Linked DNA regions of Macaca mulatta. The protein of the gene in region 1 binds, or shares a complex with, the protein of each later gene. Links are inferred from orthologs where the notes say so. Each region holds a gene or a part of one and is shown in the gene's direction. Other genes may lie near its edges. The genes, in order: TAF6, TAF10, TAF11, TAF4 and TAF7.

Region 1 (4,224 bases):
GCTGAGGCAGGAGAATCGCTTAAACCCAGGACGCGGAGGTTGCAGTGAGCTGAGATTGCACCACTGCACTCCAGCCTGGGCAACAGCATGAGACTCTGTCTCAAAAGAAAAAAAAAAAAAAAAAAAATATATATATATATATGTGTGTGTGTGTGTGTGTGTGTGTGTGTGTGTATAATAAATACAATGGGATAATAGTATGTCCCTCATAGGAGTGTGATGAGGATTAAATCAACATATATAAAGGCTGGCACATAGTGAGTACTGTATAAGTATTCACTGTTATCCTGCAGTTATTTATTGAGCTCCTTCTGTATGCATACTAACAATATAACAGCAATAAAACCTATTATCTCTATCTACAGGTCTCTGTCAGTGTAGTTGGGACAGATAAACCAAGGATGACAAGATATGGTGAAGCTGGGCCTGAACTCATGGGCTCAAGTGATCCTCCCACCTTGGCCTTCCCAAGTGCTGGGTTTACAGATGTGAGCCACTGTGCCCAGGCCTGTTGGCTGTATTCCGATAGAAGGCCTGCAGAGGTGTTAAAGCAAGGACTGATACAATTAGGTGATTAAGTCTGTTTAAAAAGATTGACAAGTCAGGGGAGAAGAGCGGGACACGGAGGTGAAAGGAGACAGAGATGAGGACTAAGTCATGAGACTATCATGACTGCCTTTCATGATACTGAAATACAGTTTTGTGGGGGTGAAGAGAAGAGAAAAAGAATCCAGGGAAGAAACGTAAAGTCAGGAGGGCAGCAAACTAGGGCATCAGGGCCAGTCCCCTTTCTCAAATGGGCCCCACACTAGTGCAGCTGTGGAAGGTGCTGCTTGCTGAAAAATCCATATAGTACGCACCGTCTGCAAAGTCTCACCGGATGGGGAACCTCTCCTACTTGTACGGCCTCCTTTTGTTTATGAGCTTCAAAGGCTGAGTTACTCACCCTCAAACCCCCTCAGGGGGGCGTGGGGCCTGTAATTTGGGAGCGTCTATGCTAGGGTAGGGCAGCGGATGTCCACAAGGCCTGAGCCTCACACCCGGCTCCTGCAGTCTCTGCAGATTAAGGTCTGGTGACATGAGGCAAACACGCACTGAAGATGCTCTAAAAGTTGGCAGTCCAGGGCCGATGGTCCCTGAACTACAATTCCCACAATCCATTGGCGGGGGTGTCCAAGCCAGCCAAAAAAATGCAGGCTCTCTCTGGATGCAGCTTTGAGGTGGCACTACACGTTCGCTTCCTTGACCCCATCCAAATTCAGCCAAGCTCCACCAGAACCTCCCTCAAGCCTTCAAGGAGGTCGGGTGACCCACCCAATACAGTCCAGGATGTCCGGCCTAGAAGAAGGAGGTGTGGCCGGGCGATGCCCACAGGGGCTACCCCCTTCAAATACCTTCGCATTTGCTGGGCAAGCGTTCTGCGTCATCGTCGTCCTCTTTCGGCATCCCAGCCCAAGCCCCGTGCACGGCCAAAAGGAAAACCAATATTCCCAGTCGCACAGGTCCCATGACAAAGCGCCGTCCACAAACAACCACCGCTTGCCTTCAAACCAACTTCGGAGAGGCAGTGTGGGTCCTTTAAATTCCCAGCGGCTGGCGGCAACCTTAAATCCAGCCTGGCAAGATCGGCGCATGCGCAAGATCAGCCCAACAGGGGTGCGGCCTCGTTGCTCCGGGTTTCCCTGCCTCCGTTTTGTGGCGCCTCTTGAAGGTCCTGGCAGCCGGGTAGTGAAGGAATAAATTACACTAATTACATCAAGAGGGAGTGGTCCTTATATGTAGATGTAGAAACAAATTTTTAAAATATAATTTCATTCTGTAAGCCTAGAGGACTTATTCTGGCACGGGGAAGGGGCAGTGACTTGCTCTTCGGTTCTGCCAGGACCTGCTTCCAGGAGGGGGCGGGGCCAAGATGGCGCCGAGCGCCGGTTGAGCGGCGTCCCGGCTGCGGCTAGAGTTTTCTTGCTGCCCGTGCTCGGCTGGCCGGGGCGGGTCTGAGTGGTACCCGGGAGGAGACCCTTTGAAAGTCCCTTGTGGGGACTGGAAAGAGGACGGTTGGTTGTGTGTCTGTGCTCGTGGGGACCCCGTGTGTGTGCCTGCATAGGAGAGATGTTGCAGGAGATGGGGTGGACTCTCTGAGCCTCATTTCGCGCTGCCCGGGGATCTTCGACCTGCTTCTCTGCTGGGATCTCGCTCAAGTTAACCCTCCCCTGGGACGCCTTCCTGCCGCCTCCACTTGATCTGAGGAGATCCTGTGACTGTAGCGTGTTTTATGAGCCTTTACTGGCAGAGGGTACCGCCGGGTATTGAAGGATTCGTAGGAGTTCGCCAGGGAAGTGGGACACGACCGCCTCTTGTAAACCCGGCGCCAGGCACAGAGTATGTCTCCAATAATTGTGTTTCCTATAGATAAGACTTATAAAAGTGGGGAAGGAGATTAGGGATGGTTTGAAAAGAACTAATTTCTTTTTCGGCCTCCCTCTTCCCATCCTTCCAGCACGGCCCCACCCTACTTGTACTACTCCTGAACAGTATTGATGTTAATCTTCCTAATGTCCAGCTCCAAGTGTGCCACTTATTTTATTTTATTTTATTTTATTTTGAGGCAGGATTTCCGTCTGTTGCGCAGGCTGTTGTGCAGTGGCACCATCTTGGCTCACTGCAGCCTCCAACTCCTCAGTAGTTCAAGCGATCCTCCCGCCTCAGCCGCCTAAGTAGCTGGGATGACCGGTTCACCCCACCACGCCCGTCTAATTTTTTAATTTTTGCAGAAATGGGGGTCTCACATGTTGACCAGTCTGTCTCAAACTTCTGGCCTCAAACGATCCTCCCACCTCTGCCTCCCAAAGTGCTGGGGTGAGCTACCTCTCTTGGCTCCAATTTGCTTTTTTTTTTTTTTTTTTTTTTTGAGACGGAGTCTCCCTCTATCGCCCAGGCTGGAGTGCAGTGGCACGATCTCGGTTCACTGCAACCTCCACCTCCTGGGTTCAAGCGATTCTCCCACCTCAGCCTCTCAAGTAGCTGGAGTAGCTGGGACTACAGGCGCCCGCCACCATGTCTGGTTAATTTTTGTGTTTTTACAAAAAGACAAGGTTTCACCATGTTGGCCAGGGTGGTCTCGAACTCCTGACCCCAGGTGATCTTCCCACCTTGGTCTCCCAAATTACAGGCGTGAGCCACTGCACCTGGCTCCACTTTGCTTTTAACTACAGTGTAGGCTCAAAGCTTGGGCCTATGACCTATTAATAACAGTGATACCAAGTATTTACTGAGCACCAACATCTCTAAGCCTTACAACTAATTCATTTACTTCACAAATATTTATGATGTCCCAGGGCTCCTGGAATACATCAGTGAACATAATAAAGAGCTCTGTTGGCCAGGCACAGTGACTCACGCCTGTAATCCCAGCACTTTGGGAGGCCAAGGTGGGCGGATCACCTGAGGTCAGGAGTTCAAGAGTGGACAACAAGAGTGAAATTCTATTTCCAAAAAAAAAGAGAAGAGCCCTGTTTACATGGTGGACAGAGACGGAGTCTCACTCTGTTGCCAGGCTGGAGTGCAGTGGTGCAACCTCTGCTCACTGCAACCTCCGCCTCCCGGGTTCAAGCGATTCTCCTGCCTCAGCCTCCCGAGTGTCTGGGACTACAGGCGCATGCCACCATGCCCGGCTAATTTTTGTATTTTCAGTAGAGACAGGGTTTAACCATGTTGGCCAGGATGGTCTTGATCTCTTGATCTCATGATCTGCCGGCCTCGGCCTCCCAAAGTGTTGGGATTACAGGCGTGAGCCGCCGCGCCAGGCTCAGAAGATGTTAAATGCTACGGAAAAGAAGAAGTGGGCTGCCCCCACTCTGAGGGCAGACTGCAGAGTTAAATAGGGTGGTCAGGGTAGGCAGCCAATTAGACATTTGGGAGAACATTCCAGGCAGAGGGAATGGAGCAAAAGCTATTAAGTGCATGCCTGGCAAGTTTAAGGAGCAGCCAGAAGACATATGTGTCTGGATCAAAGTGGAAGAAGGAAGGAAGAGTGATCAGAGATATAATGGGGAGAAGGCAAATTTTGAAGGGCTTTGTGGGACATTATAAGGATTTTGTCTTTTTTTTTTGAGAAGGAGTCTTGCTTTGTCACCCAGGCTGAAGTGCAGTGACACATATCTTTGCTCACTTCAACCTCCGCCTCCTGGGTTCGAGTGACTCTCCTGCCTCAGCCTCCTGACTAGC
Region 2 (3,159 bases), on another chromosome or scaffold:
AAGTAACAAATCATTTTTCCTCCTCCCTCCCCAAACCCCAAGGAACTCTCACTCTTGCTCAAGCTGTTCTGTCCCCTTAATACCACCCCTGATACAAACTGCCTGGTTAATTTCCAGAATTCTTACAAGATTCAGCTCAGAAGTCACCTTCTCTCGTGAATGTTTTGATTCCCTGAGGCTACTTCATTTTGCTATGGCTGAAAAATCCTAGATTTTCTAAACAAAACCTGTTTGAATCTTGGTTCTGATATGGACTGGGAGAGAGACTGGGTCAAGCAAGTTTATCTCCCTGAGGCTGTTTCCTCGTCTGTTAAGTGGGAATATTACCTGCCTTTCCTAATCACCAGGGAATAAAGTGGAATAATGTTGATAAGAGTACTTGGCACCTGGAAGTAGGTGGCAGATGTTAATGCCCTTCCTCCCTTGCACTGCGACCCCTGTGTCTACCTCTAGTATTGTAACGACCACATAGTATTGAAATAGCCACTTTACTTGTCTGGCTTCCTTTCCAAGACCGTTGGTGCCTAAAGGACTAGAATCGTGTTCTATTTAACTTTGTATTCCCAGGTCCTAGCTCAGGAGTTGGCAAATAAGAATTAAATATCTGCTACATTGAAAATCTCACGCCTTTCACTCGTTGTGATTTTTGCATACGTTGTCGACTTAGGCTGAAACCCCTCCTCCTTCTACAGCAGCACTGTGGGCCGCCCCACTGCTGCCCCCACCTCTCGGGGCAGTTGGTGGAGAAGGGCGGGGGGCTTTCCAAATCCACTATGAATCCTTACAAGGCTGAATAAGGGAACTTGAAAGGATGCAGACAGGCAGGCAATCCGTAGTCGAGGGATGTAGGGCCCATAAACCTCGAAGCAAGGTCTTGAGCGTCAGACAGAATGAGGTGTCCCAGAGCGGCGGAAGAGTCCCGGACGCACGCTGCTTCTAGTCTCGACGGAATCGCCACCGAGCACCGCAGAGGCTAGGGCGGAATGGCGACGGCAGCGCAGTTCGCCAAGGCTTGGTCTCCGCCCTTCAGCCTATTTCCTCTAACCCGCAGACCCACTACCAGAGGAGGCGGGGAGCGGGCTGGAGAGCACTAACAGTGACAGGCGGGGCGAGTCGAGGGCGCGTGACGTCACCCCGGGGTGTGCGCGGCGCGAGCGGAAGCGGAAGCGGCTCTGTTCGCCGCCTCTCCCACCGGCCCGATGAGCTGCAGCGGCTCCGGCGCGGACCCCGAGGCGGCGCCGGCTTCCGCCGCCTCGGCCCCGGGCCCGGCACCCCCGGTCTCGGCTCCCGCAGCGCTGCCCGCCAGCACCGCTGCGGAGAACAAGGCCAGCCCCGCGGGGACAGCAGGGGGGCCTGGGGCTGGAGCAGCTGCTGGGGGCACGGGACCCTTGGCGGCGCGGGCCGGGGAGCCAGCTGAGCGGCGTGGGGCGGGTGAGGGCCTGACGGGTGAGGGCGAGGGAAGCGTCTGGGACTGGGCCCAGCGGCGGGTGAGGGCAGCGGGTATAGACAGACCTCGCTGGGGCCCTGCGCCTCCCACCTCTGTGTCTCATTTTGCTGGTTCTCCTCCAGCTCCGGTGTCGGCGGGTGGCGCGGCGCCCCCAGAAGGGGCCATGTCTAACGGGATTTACGTACTGCCGAGCGCGGCCAACGGAGACGTGAAGCCGGTGGTGTCCAGCACGCCGTTGGTGGACTTCTTGATGCAGCTGGAGGATTACACGCCTACGGTGGGCTTCCGCCCGAACAAGGCCACCTAGCCTGCTGTCACAACTTTCAGCCACATCTCCGTGCTTTTCAGCACCCTCTGATGTTTGCTTCCGTAGTCGCTCTTGTTTTTGCCCTCTGCTCACCCAAATCGTGAGCTTCCTGATAACCAGGTCTATCCGACATTTCCCTCACCCTCATCCCACTCTGCTGACAGTTCTCTTAATTGATTTCTTAGATCCCAGATGCAGTGACTGGTTACTACCTGAACCGTGCTGGCTTTGAGGCCTCAGACCCACGCATGTGAGTAAACCCAGGGCAGGTTAGTTTTGGGTGCTTGTGCAGTGTGTTGTCCATCTCCTTCTCATCTAAGTTTTTTCTCTCTAGAATTCGGCTCATCTCCCTAGCTGCCCAGAAATTCATCTCAGATATTGCCAATGATGCCCTACAGCACTGCAAAATGAAGGGCACAGCCTCCGGCAGCTCCCGGAGCAAGAGCAAGGTGTGAGGGGAGGCTCATTGAATCACTAATTACCTTCCACAACAGTGGAAGCTTATCCTGCCACCCCTTTGGGGAAACTGAATCCTAGGGGAGGTGTAAAACTTACTCAGGGTCACCCATCTGGGATTGAAGTGTGGGATTCCTGTGCTCAGTTGGTGCTCTTCCCTCTTCCCTCAGGACCGCAAGTATACTTTAACCATGGAGGACTTGACCCCTGCCCTCAGCGAGTATGGCATCAATGTGAAGAAGCCGCACTACTTCACCTGAGCCACCCAACCTAAATGTACTTGTCTGTCCCCATGTCCCCACACCAGCCTGTTTTCATAATAAACTTTATTGTGACAGGCGGGGCTGATCCCTCCCATGTTGGGAGACACCATGTGGCAAGTGACAAAGCTCTGAGCCCGCCCCTTTTGGGGCCACAGTGGTAGGGATGGGGGAAGGGGATGGACCCCATGGCTGGGGTAGTACCATGACTGGAGGCAGGGGAGGCAACCAGAGGTCTGCTGCTTTGGGGAGGTACATTCCCCCAACCATGTCCTGACACCTCTGGAGTTCAGGCAAGGGCCTTCCGGTCCTACTTGTCCTGCATCTTCTCCAGGATAGGCACAATCATGTCAAATTTGGGTCGCTTTGCAGGGTCTTCGTTCATGCAGATCTTCATGAGCTTACACACATGAGGGGAAATACCTGGTGGGATGGTAGGCCGAAGGCCTTCCAATGCCACCTGTGAATACAAGAAAAAACTGAGCCTCACAATTTGAGTCTGTCATGTAGAGAGAAGCCACTGGCCCCTGGGACAGGATAACTGTATATCCGAACAAATATGGGAGGAGCCCAGGCCCACTACAGTTATTTTCACCATAACCAACCACTCCCCCAACACAAATGTATGCTGTTCTGCTCTCACCTTCATTCCAATCTCCATATTGGAAAGATCAGCAAAGGGTACCTCC
Region 3 (3,652 bases), on another chromosome or scaffold:
GCTATAGGCACTAATATGGAGATCTTTAAAGCTATAAAAACATTTAATGTTCAAGTTTAGGCCAAATAAATGGGAAAATCTGAGAAAAACAGGTGAATTTTTAAAGAAAATACAAACCACCAAACTTGAAGCGCAAAGAAGTTAGAAAACTTGTATAAATCGGTAAGTAAAAAGAAATTGAAAGGATTGTCAAAGATAGACTACCTTAATCCCATCTATTCCCATATTCCTGTATGAGTTTAAATTTGAATTCCTCTTTAGGAACAAGTTAAATCTCAATGAGTTTTGTAGTATACTTACGATTCTACATTAAGTCAGAGGGGGTGAAGTTTGGATTTGATTTTTATTGTTATAAACAGGCAGTTTTTTAAGTTTGGGGGTGCATGTGCAGGATGTGCAGGTTTTGTTACATAAGTAAATGTATGTCATAGGGGTTTGTTGTATAGATTATTTCATCTCCCAGGTATTAAGCCTAGTACCCATTAGTTATTTTTCATGATCCTTTCCCTCCTGCCACCCTTTACCCTCCCATAGACCCCAATGTGTGTTCCCCTGTATGTGTCCATGTGTTCTCATCATTTAGTTCCCACTTATTAGTGAGAACATGCAGTATTTGGTTTTCTGTTCCCGCATTAGTTTGCTAAAGATAATGGCCTCCACCTCCATCCATGTCCCTGCAAAGGACATGATCTCCTTTTTTATGGCTGTGTAGTATTTCATGGTGTATACTGGAAAATACATTTTCATTATCCAGTCTATCATTGATGGGCATTTAGGTTGATTCCATGTCTTTGCTATTGTCAATAGCACTGCAATGAACATACGTGTGGATGTGTCTTTATAATAGAACAATTTATATTCCTGTGGGTGTATACCCAGTAATGGGACTGCTGGGTCAAATGGTAATTCTGTCTTTAGGTCTTTGAGGAATTGTCACACTGCCTTCCTCAATGGTGAACTGATTTATACTCCAACCAAGAGTTTAAAAGCTTTCCTTTGCCTCCACAACCTTGCCAGTATCTGTTATTTTTTGATTTTTGAATAATAGCCATTCTGACAGATATGAGATGGTATCTCATTATGGTTTTGATTTGCATTTCTCTAATCAGAGATGCTGAGCTTTTTTTCATATGATTTTTGACCACAGGTATGTCTTCTTTTGAGAAGTGTCTTTGCCTACCTTTTAATGGGGTTTAAACAGGCATTTATTAAACATCCAGCATAAGTAAAATTGTGTTAAATGCTGATGGGGGAGAGATATAAATAATAAGAGACAAATCTATCTTCAAAAAGACTAGTAATGTGAAATAAACATTTGCATGAAACAGTAGGATTGAAGGATAAGAACAAAAGAGCACTACCTGTGAGAAGCTCACTTGAAAGTCCCAAAGTGAAATAAACACTGTTTTAATGAGAAGGGGCCTCCTTTTTAATATTCTTTCCATATGGAATCATCAGCAGTAAAGAGATCTGTAGATCTAGAAGCAGAAGAGCTGGCTGGATGGAGGGGACTTTGCTGACATCCCCTCTAAAGAATAAGGTCAGAAGAGCGGGCCCAGAGGGAGGGCAGTTTTCATGATCCTTGGCATTTCATCACCCTCGTAAACAGATACTGGAGCTGTGCTCATAGCCGAACTGGAAAACTAGATTATTTAGCAGGTTTTCTTTCCACGGCTGAGCCATAATCTTCCCTTAGGAGAGATACTGTATCTTATCCTTGATGGTACAGTCAGTGCCTAAAACTGAAAAACTACTCAATAAATGGATTTGTTGTTTTGTAATAAGGATAATGCCTTCTCACTTTGCCCAAGCCTCGAAAGTAGGCCAAATATGTAATAGAGTTTCTTTCATCTTCCCAGCCCAAGAGTCAGGATGTCTCAGATTTAACAACAGTTGAAAGGGAAGACTCATCATTACTTACTCCTGCGGCCAAAAAACTGAAAATAGATACCAAAGAAAAGAAAGAGAAGAAGCAGAAAGTAGATGAAGATGAGATTCAGAAGATGCAGTAAGTCACTTTCTTATCATTCCCCATTTCAAAGCTCTCACTTGACCACACAAATTTAATAAATTTTTCTTGGTATTTAAATTTTCTTTTATAAACTCAAAAGAAAATAAAACGATTAATACATTATGGCTGGGCATGGTGGCTCACGCTTATAATCCCAACACTTCAGAAGGCCAAGGTGGGAGGATTTCTTGAGGTCCAAGTTTGAGACCAGCCTGGGCAACATAGTGAAACCCTATCTCTAATGTTATGTTACAGTACGTTACGGTGGTTTTTTTTTTTTTTTTTTTTTTTTTTTGGGACAGAGTCTTACTGTGTTGCCCAGGATGGAGTGCAATGGTATGATCTCAGCTCACTGCAGCCTCTGCCTCCTGAGTTCAAACAATTCTCATGCCTCAGCCTCCCGAGTAGCTGGGACTACAGGCATGTACCACCATGCCTGGCTAATTTTTGTATTTTTAGTAGAGACAGGGTTTCACTATATTGGCCAGGCTGGTCTTGAACTCATGACCTCAGGTGATCTGCCCGCCTCAGCCTCCCAAAGTGCTGGGATGACAGGCATGAGCCACTGCGCCCGGCCTCTATTTCAAATTTTTGTTTGTTTGTTTTTGAGATGGAGTTTCGCTCTCATTGCTCAGGCTGGAGTGTAGTGGCAGGATCTCTGCTCACTGCAACCTCCACCTTCCGGTTTCAAGCGATTCTCCTGCCTCAGCCTCCCAGGTAGCTGGGACTACAGGTGCCCGCCACCATGCCTGGCTAATTTTTGTATTTTTAGTGGAGACAGGGTTTCACCATGTTGGCCAGGCTGGTCTCGAACTCGAGACCTCGTGATCCGCCCGCCTCGGCCTCCCAAAGTGCTGGGATTACAGGCCAAAAAATTTTTTTTCAAACAATTATGTTACAGCATAGAAAATATAAATAGATAAAAAGATGTCCGGGAGCGGTGGCTCACACCTGTAATCCCAGCACTTTGGGAGGCTGAGGCGTGGGCGGATCACCTGAGGTCAGGAGTTTGAGACCAGCCTGGCCAAGATGGTGAAACCCCATCTCTACTAAAATTACAAAAAATTAGCCAGGCGTTGTGGTGGGTGCCTGTAGTCCCAGCTACTCGGGAGGCTGAGGTAGGAGAATCACTTGAACCCAGGAGGCAGAGGTTACAATGAGCCAAGATTGCACTACTGCACTCCAGCCTGGGCAATAGAGCCAGACACTGTCTCAAAAATAAATAAATAAAAATAAATAGATAAGAAGAAAAAAGAATCACCTTACCACAGAGATATATCCTGCTTATGTTAAAAGTTTCAAGATAGTTTCTATACATATATATCTATGAATTGTTTTTTTCACAAATGTCAAATACTGTTTCATAGCCTATTTTTCACATTAGATATGATGAATGTTTTCCATGTCACTAATTATACATCTAGGTCATAGTTTTCTTTTTTTTTTTTTTTTTTTTTCTGAGGCAGAGTCTCGCTCTGTCGCCCAGGCTGGAGTGCAGTGGCACGATCTCGGCTCACTGCAAGCTCCGCCTCCCGGGTTCACGCCATTCTCCTGCCTCAGCCTCCCAAGTAGCTGGGACTACAGGCGCCCGCCATCACGCCTGGCTAATTTTTTTTTTTTTTTTTTGTATTTTTAGTAGAG
Region 4 (4,090 bases), on another chromosome or scaffold:
TTTTCTATGTCAGCAACGTCATTCATCGTCCCGAGGTCTCTGCTTATTGCGGCGCTGTCTTCAGCTGCGAAGACTGATCCTGCGGCCTCTTGTCCCCAGTGAGGTCCGAGGCAAGGAAGCGTCTCTCTGAAACCTATTCTGGGCTCTTAGAAAGAAATGGGAGAAAGGAAAACCACTAGAAATGTCCAATAACACCATCTTTTGGTTGGAAAATAAAACACGCAGAAAGAGGGAACTGGAACTTTTACTGAAGTATTTCTAGAGAGAAGGTGCTTGGGAACATTTTAGGTAACTTACTCCCCTCCCCCAGCAGAAGGTAAAAAGAAAGCTACTTCCAGACTTGCCAGCTCGGGAACTTCGTTTGGCGCCTGGCAGGCACCGTGCTCTTACCTACGGGCTTATAATGACACTCCCGTCTCCAAGGCAGCTAGGTGCGGGTACAGTCACCCCGGGGCGGCTTAGTTTATTGATTAAAAATGGAGGGAAGGGCCAGGGGTGGTCACGATTGGAGGGCGAGAAGAGCCGTGCGCGCAGGACCCCTCCCCACCGCCCGGGACCGGCTACCCAGGGGCGGACCCAGCTTCCTTCCCCGCGGCGGCTTGGAGGGGCCGGGCGCCGGTCCCCGTCCTCAGGGCGCGCTGCGAGAGCCCCGTCCCCGTCCCCGCCTGCTTCTCGGGCCCATCCACTCCGGGGCCTGCGCGCTGCCCGGCCGGCGCCCCGGCATCCCCGCGCGCTGCTCCCCGGGCCTCGGACGGGCCCTGCACCTCCGCTGCCACCGCACAGGGCGGCCCGCCCGGCGTTCCCGTCAGCGCCGCCGCAGCCATTTTGGAGCGAGCGGAGACAAAGAGCGAAGCCCCGTCGCCGCCCCGCGCTCGCCTCGGCCCGGCCCGGCGCACCGTCCCCGCATCCCGCGCCCCGCCCGGCGGCCACCGCCCCGCCCTGCCCGCCACCGCCCCGGCTCCCGCGTCCCCGAGCTCCAGCCCCCGCGCTTCCCGCCGCTGCTACCGCGCCCAGGCCGACCGCCCGCGCCCCGGCCTCTAGCGCTCGCAGCCATTGGCCGCGCCTTTTAAGTGCGCACCGCAGCCAATCGCCGGGCGCCCGCGGTCTCCGCGCCTGCGCAGGAGCGCCACCCCCGCGCCCCCGCCCCCCGGCCGCGCGCCCCCGCCCCCCGCCGGCCGCGCGCCGCCCCCCGCCCGCCCAGCGCCCGCCCCACTCGGAACCTCCTCCTCGCCCAGGCGCGCTCGGCCCGAGCGGCGGCGGCGGCGGCGGCCGAGGAAAAAAGATGGCGGCGGGCTCGGATCTGCTGGACGAGGTCTTCTTCAACAGCGAGGTGGACGAGAAAGTGGTGAGCGACCTGGTGGGCTCGCTCGAGTCGCAGCTGGCGGCCAGCGCGGCCCACCACCACCACCTCGCGCCGCGCACGCCCGAGGTGCGGGCCGCGGCCGCCGGCGCGCTCGGGAACCATGTTGTGAGCGGCAGCCCGGCCGGAGCCGCGGGCGCAGGGCCGGCCGCCCCCGCCGAGGGCGCGCCCGGAGCGGCGCCGGAGCCGCCCCCCGCAGGTAGAGCGCGGCCGGGGGGCGGGGGGCCGCGGCGCCCGGGCCCCCCCTCACCGCGCCGCCCCCTTGTCCCCGCAGGGCCCGCGCCGCCCGCCGCGAAGCTGAGGCCGCCGCCCGAGGGCAGCGCGGGGGCCTGCGCCCCGGTGCCCGCCGCCGCCGCCGTCGCCGCGGGGCCCGAGCCCGCCCCCGCCGGCCCCGCCAAGCCCGCCGGCCCCACCGCGCTGGCCGCCCGCGCCGGCCCCGGCCCCGGCCCCGGGCCCGGCCCCGGCCCTGGCCCTGGCAAGCCCGCCGGCCCCGGCGCCGCGCAAACTTTGAATGGGAGCGCCGCGCTGCTGAACTCGCACCACGCCGCCGCACCTGCTGTCAGCCTGGTCAACAACGGGCCCGCCGCGCTGCTGCCGCTGCCCAAGCCCGCCGCCCCCGGCACTGTCATCCAGACGCCCCCCTTCGTGGGCGCCGCCGCGCCCCCCGCGCCCGCCGCGCCCTCGCCCCCCGCCGCCCCCGCGCCCGCCGCCCCCGCCGCCGCCCCGCCCCCGCCACCCCCCGCGCCCGCCACCCTGGCGCGGCCGCCCGGCCACCCTGCCGGACCCCCGACCGCCGCGCCCGCTGCGCCGCCCCCTGCCGCAGCCCAGAACGGGGGCAGCGCCGGGGCAGCCCCCGCCCCCGCCCCGGCCGCCGGGGGCCCCGCGGGGGTCAGCGGCCAGCCCGGGCCTGGCGCGGCGGCTGCAGCGCCAGCGCCGGGGGTCAAGGCCGAGTCGCCCAAGACGGTGGTGCAGGCGGCGCCCCCGGCGGCGCAGACCCTGGCGGCCAGCGGCCCGGCCAGCACGGCTGCCAGCATGGTCATCGGGCCAACTATGCAAGGGGCGCTGCCCAGCCCCGCCGCCGTCCCACCGCCCGCCCCCGGGACCCCCACCGGGCTGCCCAAAGGCGCGGCCGGCGCAGTGACCCAGAGCCTGCCCCGGACGCCCACGGCCACCACCAGCGGGATCCGGGCCACCCTGACGCCCACCGTGCTGGCCCCCCGCCTGCCGCAGCCGCCTCAGAACCCGACCAACATCCAGAACTTCCAGCTGCCCCCAGGTGAGTGGCCGCACGGGGCGGGAGGGAAGGGCGGGTCCAGCAGCGCCAGCTGCCAGTTCCAGGAAGTTCTCCGCTGGTGGAATGCTAAGGTCATCTGTCCCGTAGGCCCGTGGCTGGAGCAGGCCGAGGGGCAGCCTCTACCCAGGTGCGGGGCCAGCCCGGGTGGCTGCCTGCGAGTGAGCCAGAGGGAGTCGGCATAGTCTGCGTCCCTGTCGCTGTTCCAGACGTCCGCGGTGGCTGCCTGTGGCTGGGGCTGGTCTGTTTCAGAGTGGCTCAGCCAGGACTCCTACTGGAGCGGTCCTTACCTGCTCCCGCCCTGTGTGCCCCTGCCCCGGTTGGAAGGCTCAGCGCAGGGGCTCCCTGGGCCAGGCGATGGGGTCTGCAGAGCTGAGGGCAGAACCTGGAGGTGCGAGTGGCAGCAACTGTCCCCTGCTCAGTTCTGCAGTTAGGCGTGTGGCCTGTGTCCCCACTTAGCCTTTCTGCCCCTTTGTGACCCTGGGCTTGAGCCTCCCCAGTCTCCAGGCGAGGACGGGGGCACGACACCCCCTCCTCGAGGCTCGGGAAGTCGGGATGGAAGGCTTGGGCTTCCCTGTTGGCCACCAGGAGGGCAGAGATGTCGGGCGCACCCTGCGAGAGTCCTCCCGGCGCGCAGCCTTGCTGAGAGCCATGCTCTGGAGTAGGGTTTCAGCACCGTGTGTGTCACCGTCTCTTCCAGCGCTGCGTTGGTGCCTAAAGGAAAGAGCGCCCAGCTAGTCTGGTTGCTGCCCCCTCGGGAGGGCAGTGGGAGGGCGGTGGCAGCAGATGCTCTCGCTCCGTGCAGGGGTCTCGGGGTAATACTGGCTGTGCTGCGGATGCCTTGGGCTCAGACGCCCCTTCTGCCTGGCAGTACTCACGCTCTTGGTCTAGTCTGCTGTCTCTGCGACTCCTCAGGGCCCCTCAAGTTTGACGGGAAAGATTGCCTGACCAGCATTGCACGCTAGGCTGCTTTTGTCTGGGGCTCCCCATCCCTCCCCAGCCGCCTTGGTGGGTGCTGGGCAGGGGAGCTCCTCCCCGGCCTGTGGTGACGCGCGCCATGCAGTTGTAGCAGCTCGGTGGCAGCAGTAGTAGGAACTTCGAGGAGAGCGTGGGTCTTTTCTGTGTCCCCTCTCTGAAGGGAGCTATTGGTCACTTTGAGAGGTTTGCAGCATCTTCAGAAGTGAAAGGTTTTCCTGTCCGAGTATGTGAAGTTCAGGGCTGGTGGTCAGACTGGACAGGGCGGGGGTAGGGAGAGTCTGTCTGGGAGACCGCTAGGCTGCAGTGCTCCAGGGAGGAAGAGGGCTGAGAAGCCACTTCTCCGGGGTTGCTGAGACGCCCGTTATGACAAGCTGTTGGAGTACTGAAGCATTTGTAGGGATGTTTCGCCAAAGTCTTGGTTTTGCTCCTATGTGTATATTGAGCTTTTAGTAGAAAATGTG
Region 5 (4,283 bases), on another chromosome or scaffold:
CTTTCTAGATAGATCAATTTTTTCATTCAATTAGCAAATATTTTTTGTGTATCTCCCATGTTCTGGTACTAGGCACTGGGACACAATGACCAGGATAGAAAAAGATCACTATCATGGAGCTTTCAATCATACAGGAATAAAGTGAATTTTGGAAATGTTAATTACATCTTAAGAGAATTCTCTTAAATTTAGGGGCAATTGGTAATATTTTAGAGGATAGAAATTAAATGTTAATGGCCTTGATGCTCTACCAGATATTTTAAAAATAAATGGAAATAAATAGAAATAAGTACCAACTGTTACCCAGTTATGTCAAAATACTAAAAATATGTGTTGATGAATACCTGACCCTCCAAAGAAAAGACAAGCACAAAACAGCAAAATAGTAGAGGTGGAGTTAAAAAAAAAGTCAAAGTATTTAAAATTACTTGTACATGAGAAGCAGGAAACAATACTTCAATTATGTCTACTTTAACCAGATGCTCAGTCTATCAGACAATTCTGTCCAAAATGAACCTGTGCTTGCAGAAGAACACTTCCTTCTCTGCTTACATTTACATCTAAATCAAGCATATAAAAAGGAATCACCCTTGTTTCCTCAGGAGTATTACAGAACAGAAGGAAACCCAGAGGCACAATTCCCCTACAGGGAATTATATTAAACAAAATATAGACTTTGGGCCAGGCACGGTGGCTCACACCTATAATCCCAGTACTTTGGGAGGCCAAGACAGGCAAATCACCTCAGGTCAGGAGTTGGAGACCAGCCTGGCCAACATGGTGAAACCCCTTCTCTACTAAAAATACCAAACTTAGCTGGGGTAGTGGAAGGTGCCTGTAATCCCAGCTACTCAAGAGGCTGAGGCAGGAGAATCGCTTGAACCCTGGAGGTGCAGATTGCAGTGAGCCAATATTGTGCCACTACACTCAAGCCTGGGTGACAGCCTAGACTCCATTTCCAAAACAAACAAACAAACAAACAAAGAGAGGTTTAGAATTATATAGTGAGCTCCATGTCCTCCTCACTCCACTGATTTGGGTTCTTTAAAATCCATTGTATAGTAGCTACACATTCTTGTATTGGCACCAGATTGGCTAGACCCTAGGAAGCATCCGAGATGTTTCCAGAAGCAAAGACGCTTACTGCCAGGCGTCCCCCATCTCCCGGAATCACCCGGAAGTCTAGAAGCCATCCGGCCCCACAGCGATCCCTTAAAAGTGCTGGCTTAGCGGGGGACGAATCCGTGTCTTTCTTGTAACTTCCAAGCGCTAAATAGTTTGAAACCAACAGCTCTTCGAAAACACTATCATTTTCATCCCAGAAAAGCAAGTTCTCGCGAAAAGACGAGTTTCACGCTGGGCAGCGTAATTGCGCTATTGCGCCTGCGCGCGCCGGGGCTCCGCCCTTCCGGCCGGAGGGGCTGTCACTCACATCCACCTCCCGCCCCGCGTCGTGACGTAGCACTTCCGTTTTCTCTGGGCAAGCGGTCGAACGGAGGGCCGGCGAGGTGCCGGGTCTGGTTCTCCGAGCTGCGCCTCTCGGCAAGATTTCGCGTTGCCCATCCTGGGCTTTCATCAGTAATCGATAGTGGATCACTCTGCCAAGCGGCAGGAAGAATTAAGGAAACGACAAGGAGACGCTTGGCTGCCTCCCGCTTTGCTCCTTGCGGCCTCCTCTTCCCTTCGCTCCGGCCCGGTGAAACTGAACTTATAATCGTCACTGGATTGTAAGTACCCGAGGCGAAGAGAGCTCACTGAGCCCTGATGTTTTGAGTGTCTGTTCCGGGAGAGTTTGTAAATTGAGAGTATCTCTGCTGGCCTTTCTGGGCCGAAAACCGTTCCGCGGGAGCCGCCATTTGCTTTCCTGCTTCTTAGCTAGGTAGCTGTCTCCGCGTTGTCGGGCAGCGGCACCTAGAGGTTGGGACTTGGCATTGCATCTGATTTAATGAACTTAAGTCTGTGAATAAGCCTTTGTGTTAACGACTGGTATTTGGTCACAGCATATTTAGAGAAAAGACTTGGAGCTTAAATAAAAACGAAGGCAAAATAGACGCTAAGCTGCTGATCTACAGAGAACTTCTTGTAATTAAAATATTTCAATTCATAGCGAACTGGTGTTTTAAACTATTGCAGTAGCTGGAACTTTTTACGGTAACCATCATTTATTGGAGAAGTGAGTCACAAAGAAATAAAAATGAGTAAAAGCAAAGATGATGCTCCTCACGAACTGGAGAGCCAGTTTATCTTACGTCTGCCTCCAGAATATGCCTCTACTGTGAGAAGAGCAGTACAGTCTGGTCATGTCAACCTCAAGGACAGACTGACAATTGAGTTACATCCTGATGGGCGTCATGGAATCGTCAGAGTGGACCGTGTTCCATTGGCCTCAAAATTGGTAGACCTGCCCTGTGTTATGGAAAGCTTGAAAACCATTGATAAGAAAACCTTTTACAAGACAGCTGATATCTGTCAGATGCTTGTATCCACAGTTGATGGTGATCTCTATCCACCTGTGGAGGAGCCAGTTGCTAGCACTGATCCTAAAGCAAGCAAGAAAAAGGATAAGGACAAAGAGAAAAAGTTTATCTGGAACCACGGAATTACTCTGCCTCTGAAGAATGTCAGGAAGAGAAGGTTCCGGAAGACAGCAAAGAAGAAATATATTGAATCTCCAGATGTGGAAAAAGAAGTGAAACGATTGCTGAGTACAGATGCTGAAGCTGTTAGTACTCGGTGGGAAATAATTGCTGAAGATGAAACAAAGGAGGCAGAAAATCAAGGCCTGGATATCTCTTCTCCAGGAATGTCTGGTCACAGGCAGGGCCATGACTCATTAGAACATGATGAGCTTCGGGAGATATTCAATGACCTCAGCAGCAGCAGTGAGGATGAAGATGAGACCCAGCATCAAGATGAAGAAGATATAAACATCATTGACACTGAGGAAGATCTGGAGAGACAACTACAGGACAAGCTAAATGAATCAGATGAACAGCACCAGGAAAATGAGGGAACCAATCAGCTGGTTATGGGAATTCAGAAGCAGATTGACAACATGAAAGGCAAGCTCCAAGAGACCCAGGACAGGGCAAAACGACAAGAGGATCTCATCATGAAAGTGGAAAATCTGGCTCTCAAGAACAGATTTCAGGCTGTACTGGATGAGCTCAAACAAAAGGAAGACCGAGAAAAGGAGCAACTCAGCTCTTTGCAAGAAGAGCTAGAATCACTCCTAGAGAAGTAAAAAGAACTGATTCTTAATTTCAGTGTTCAGACTGATCAGCATTAGAAAATTCTTGGCTTTATTACTTGTACTGGATATTAACACCTTGCACTTCCTAGTCCCTCTAATGCTGTGTGTTCTGTTAAGTTCTTTCATTTGTTTATAGTTTTGTTTTTCAGCAAATTTACATTGTTTTGCTAGGTGTTCATCCTATAAGAAGCAGGATTGTATAGGCAGAAAAATGATAGTAGGAAAGTTGCAGGATTAGTGGAATGTATGGTTCAACCTTAATTATAGCTCCACTGCAGGACTTTGCTGTTTCTCCATTTTCTAGAAGCTGCTGTTGCTGCCTTATGATGACATGAGATCAATAAGAAGAACCTAGTCTAGAGACAGTGATGCTAGTTTGCATATGTTTTCCCATGCAATAGCTGTTTTCCCAGTTACTCAAAGCAGTTTCCCATATGTAGAGATGCAAATTTTATTAAGTTGTTTACAATACAATAAATAAAAGCATCTGTTTTTCACTTTGTAGTGTATCTTGTTCTTTCATGGTTGGTGGGAGTCAGGTCCCTTTTGAGGTGGTTTCGTGGTGGAGTTTAGTGACTAAGAAATTTGATCCAGTTCTGCAGGTAGAGGCAGTTTGGTTTATGAAAAAAAGCAACACAGCAGGGGTAAAGAAATTGGGAATTGTCATGTTTGCATCATATTAAGATTCCAGTTCTATCTGATCTACTTGAAAGCTGGGAAACATTAGATACAGAGCTTTCTTAAACTACCCTAATTTTTGTAGATGAAGGCCTTTGTGCCTTTTTTAAAAAGCTTACTAAATCTACCTGCACAAAATGTTGGAAACAAAGCAGTGGTTATCAAGTGCAGTCCAATGAATCATTCCATTGGTTTGGATTAAGATTTTATTTCTATTTTTCTTCAGTTGAGTTCTTATAATTAATAATCTGAGAACTGAGGTCATTTATCAATGTCATTTCATCAAAATTGCTCATAAAGTAAGTCGGTACCAAATTTCTCATGCTTTAAAGATAATTTAATGCCTCACAAC

What was found.
Region 2: TAF6 (region 1) and TAF10 share a complex: the UniProt entries of both Homo sapiens proteins name them as parts of the TFIID basal transcription factor complex. The link is inferred for Macaca mulatta from reciprocal best matches to the Homo sapiens genes TAF6 and TAF10.
Region 3: TAF6 (region 1) and TAF11 share a complex: the UniProt entries of both Homo sapiens proteins name them as parts of the TFIID basal transcription factor complex. The link is inferred for Macaca mulatta from reciprocal best matches to the Homo sapiens genes TAF6 and TAF11.
Region 4: TAF6 (region 1) and TAF4 share a complex: the UniProt entries of both Homo sapiens proteins name them as parts of the TFIID basal transcription factor complex. The link is inferred for Macaca mulatta from reciprocal best matches to the Homo sapiens genes TAF6 and TAF4.
Region 5: TAF6 (region 1) and TAF7 share a complex: the UniProt entries of both Homo sapiens proteins name them as parts of the TFIID basal transcription factor complex. The link is inferred for Macaca mulatta from reciprocal best matches to the Homo sapiens genes TAF6 and TAF7.

The regions. Positions count from the first base shown.
Region 1 is NC_133408.1:47,425,381-47,429,604, reverse strand, and holds the start of TAF6 (transcription initiation factor TFIID subunit 6), read left to right. Parts: upstream 1-1,329; coding exon 1,330-1,564; exon of another isoform or gene 1,565-1,598; intron 1,599-1,899; exon of another isoform or gene 1,900-2,379; intron 2,380-2,609; exon of another isoform or gene 2,610-2,744; intron 2,745-2,771; exon of another isoform or gene 2,772-2,786; coding exon of another isoform or gene 2,787-2,860; intron 2,861-4,090; exon of another isoform or gene 4,091-4,224. Other genes in the region: CNPY4 (protein canopy homolog 4 precursor), read right to left, coding at 1,395-1,509. UniProt on the Homo sapiens protein: The TFIID basal transcription factor complex plays a major role in the initiation of RNA polymerase II (Pol II)-dependent transcription.
Region 2 is NC_133419.1:59,170,967-59,174,125, forward strand, and holds TAF10 (transcription initiation factor TFIID subunit 10), read left to right. Parts: upstream 1-1,187; 5' UTR 1,188-1,199; coding exon 1,200-1,431; coding exon of another isoform or gene 1,432-1,446; intron 1,447-1,569; coding exon 1,570-1,724; intron 1,725-1,939; coding exon 1,940-2,004; intron 2,005-2,088; coding exon 2,089-2,203; intron 2,204-2,380; coding exon 2,381-2,470; 3' UTR 2,471-2,518; downstream 2,519-3,159. Other genes in the region: scaffold protein ILK, read right to left, coding at 2,781-2,930, 3,114-3,159. UniProt on the Homo sapiens protein: The TFIID basal transcription factor complex plays a major role in the initiation of RNA polymerase II (Pol II)-dependent transcription.
Region 3 is NC_133409.1:147,392,407-147,396,058, forward strand, and holds part of TAF11 (transcription initiation factor TFIID subunit 11), read left to right. Parts: intron 1-1,859; coding exon 1,860-2,008; intron 2,009-3,652. UniProt on the Homo sapiens protein: The TFIID basal transcription factor complex plays a major role in the initiation of RNA polymerase II (Pol II)-dependent transcription.
Region 4 is NC_133415.1:114,859,581-114,863,670, reverse strand, and holds the start of TAF4 (transcription initiation factor TFIID subunit 4), read left to right. Parts: upstream 1-1,211; 5' UTR 1,212-1,282; coding exon 1,283-2,636; intron 2,637-4,090. UniProt on the Homo sapiens protein: The TFIID basal transcription factor complex plays a major role in the initiation of RNA polymerase II (Pol II)-dependent transcription.
Region 5 is NC_133411.1:150,152,905-150,157,187, reverse strand, and holds TAF7 (transcription initiation factor TFIID subunit 7), read left to right. Parts: upstream 1-1,462; 5' UTR 1,463-2,194; coding exon 2,195-3,244; 3' UTR 3,245-3,754; downstream 3,755-4,283. UniProt on the Homo sapiens protein: The TFIID basal transcription factor complex plays a major role in the initiation of RNA polymerase II (Pol II)-dependent transcription.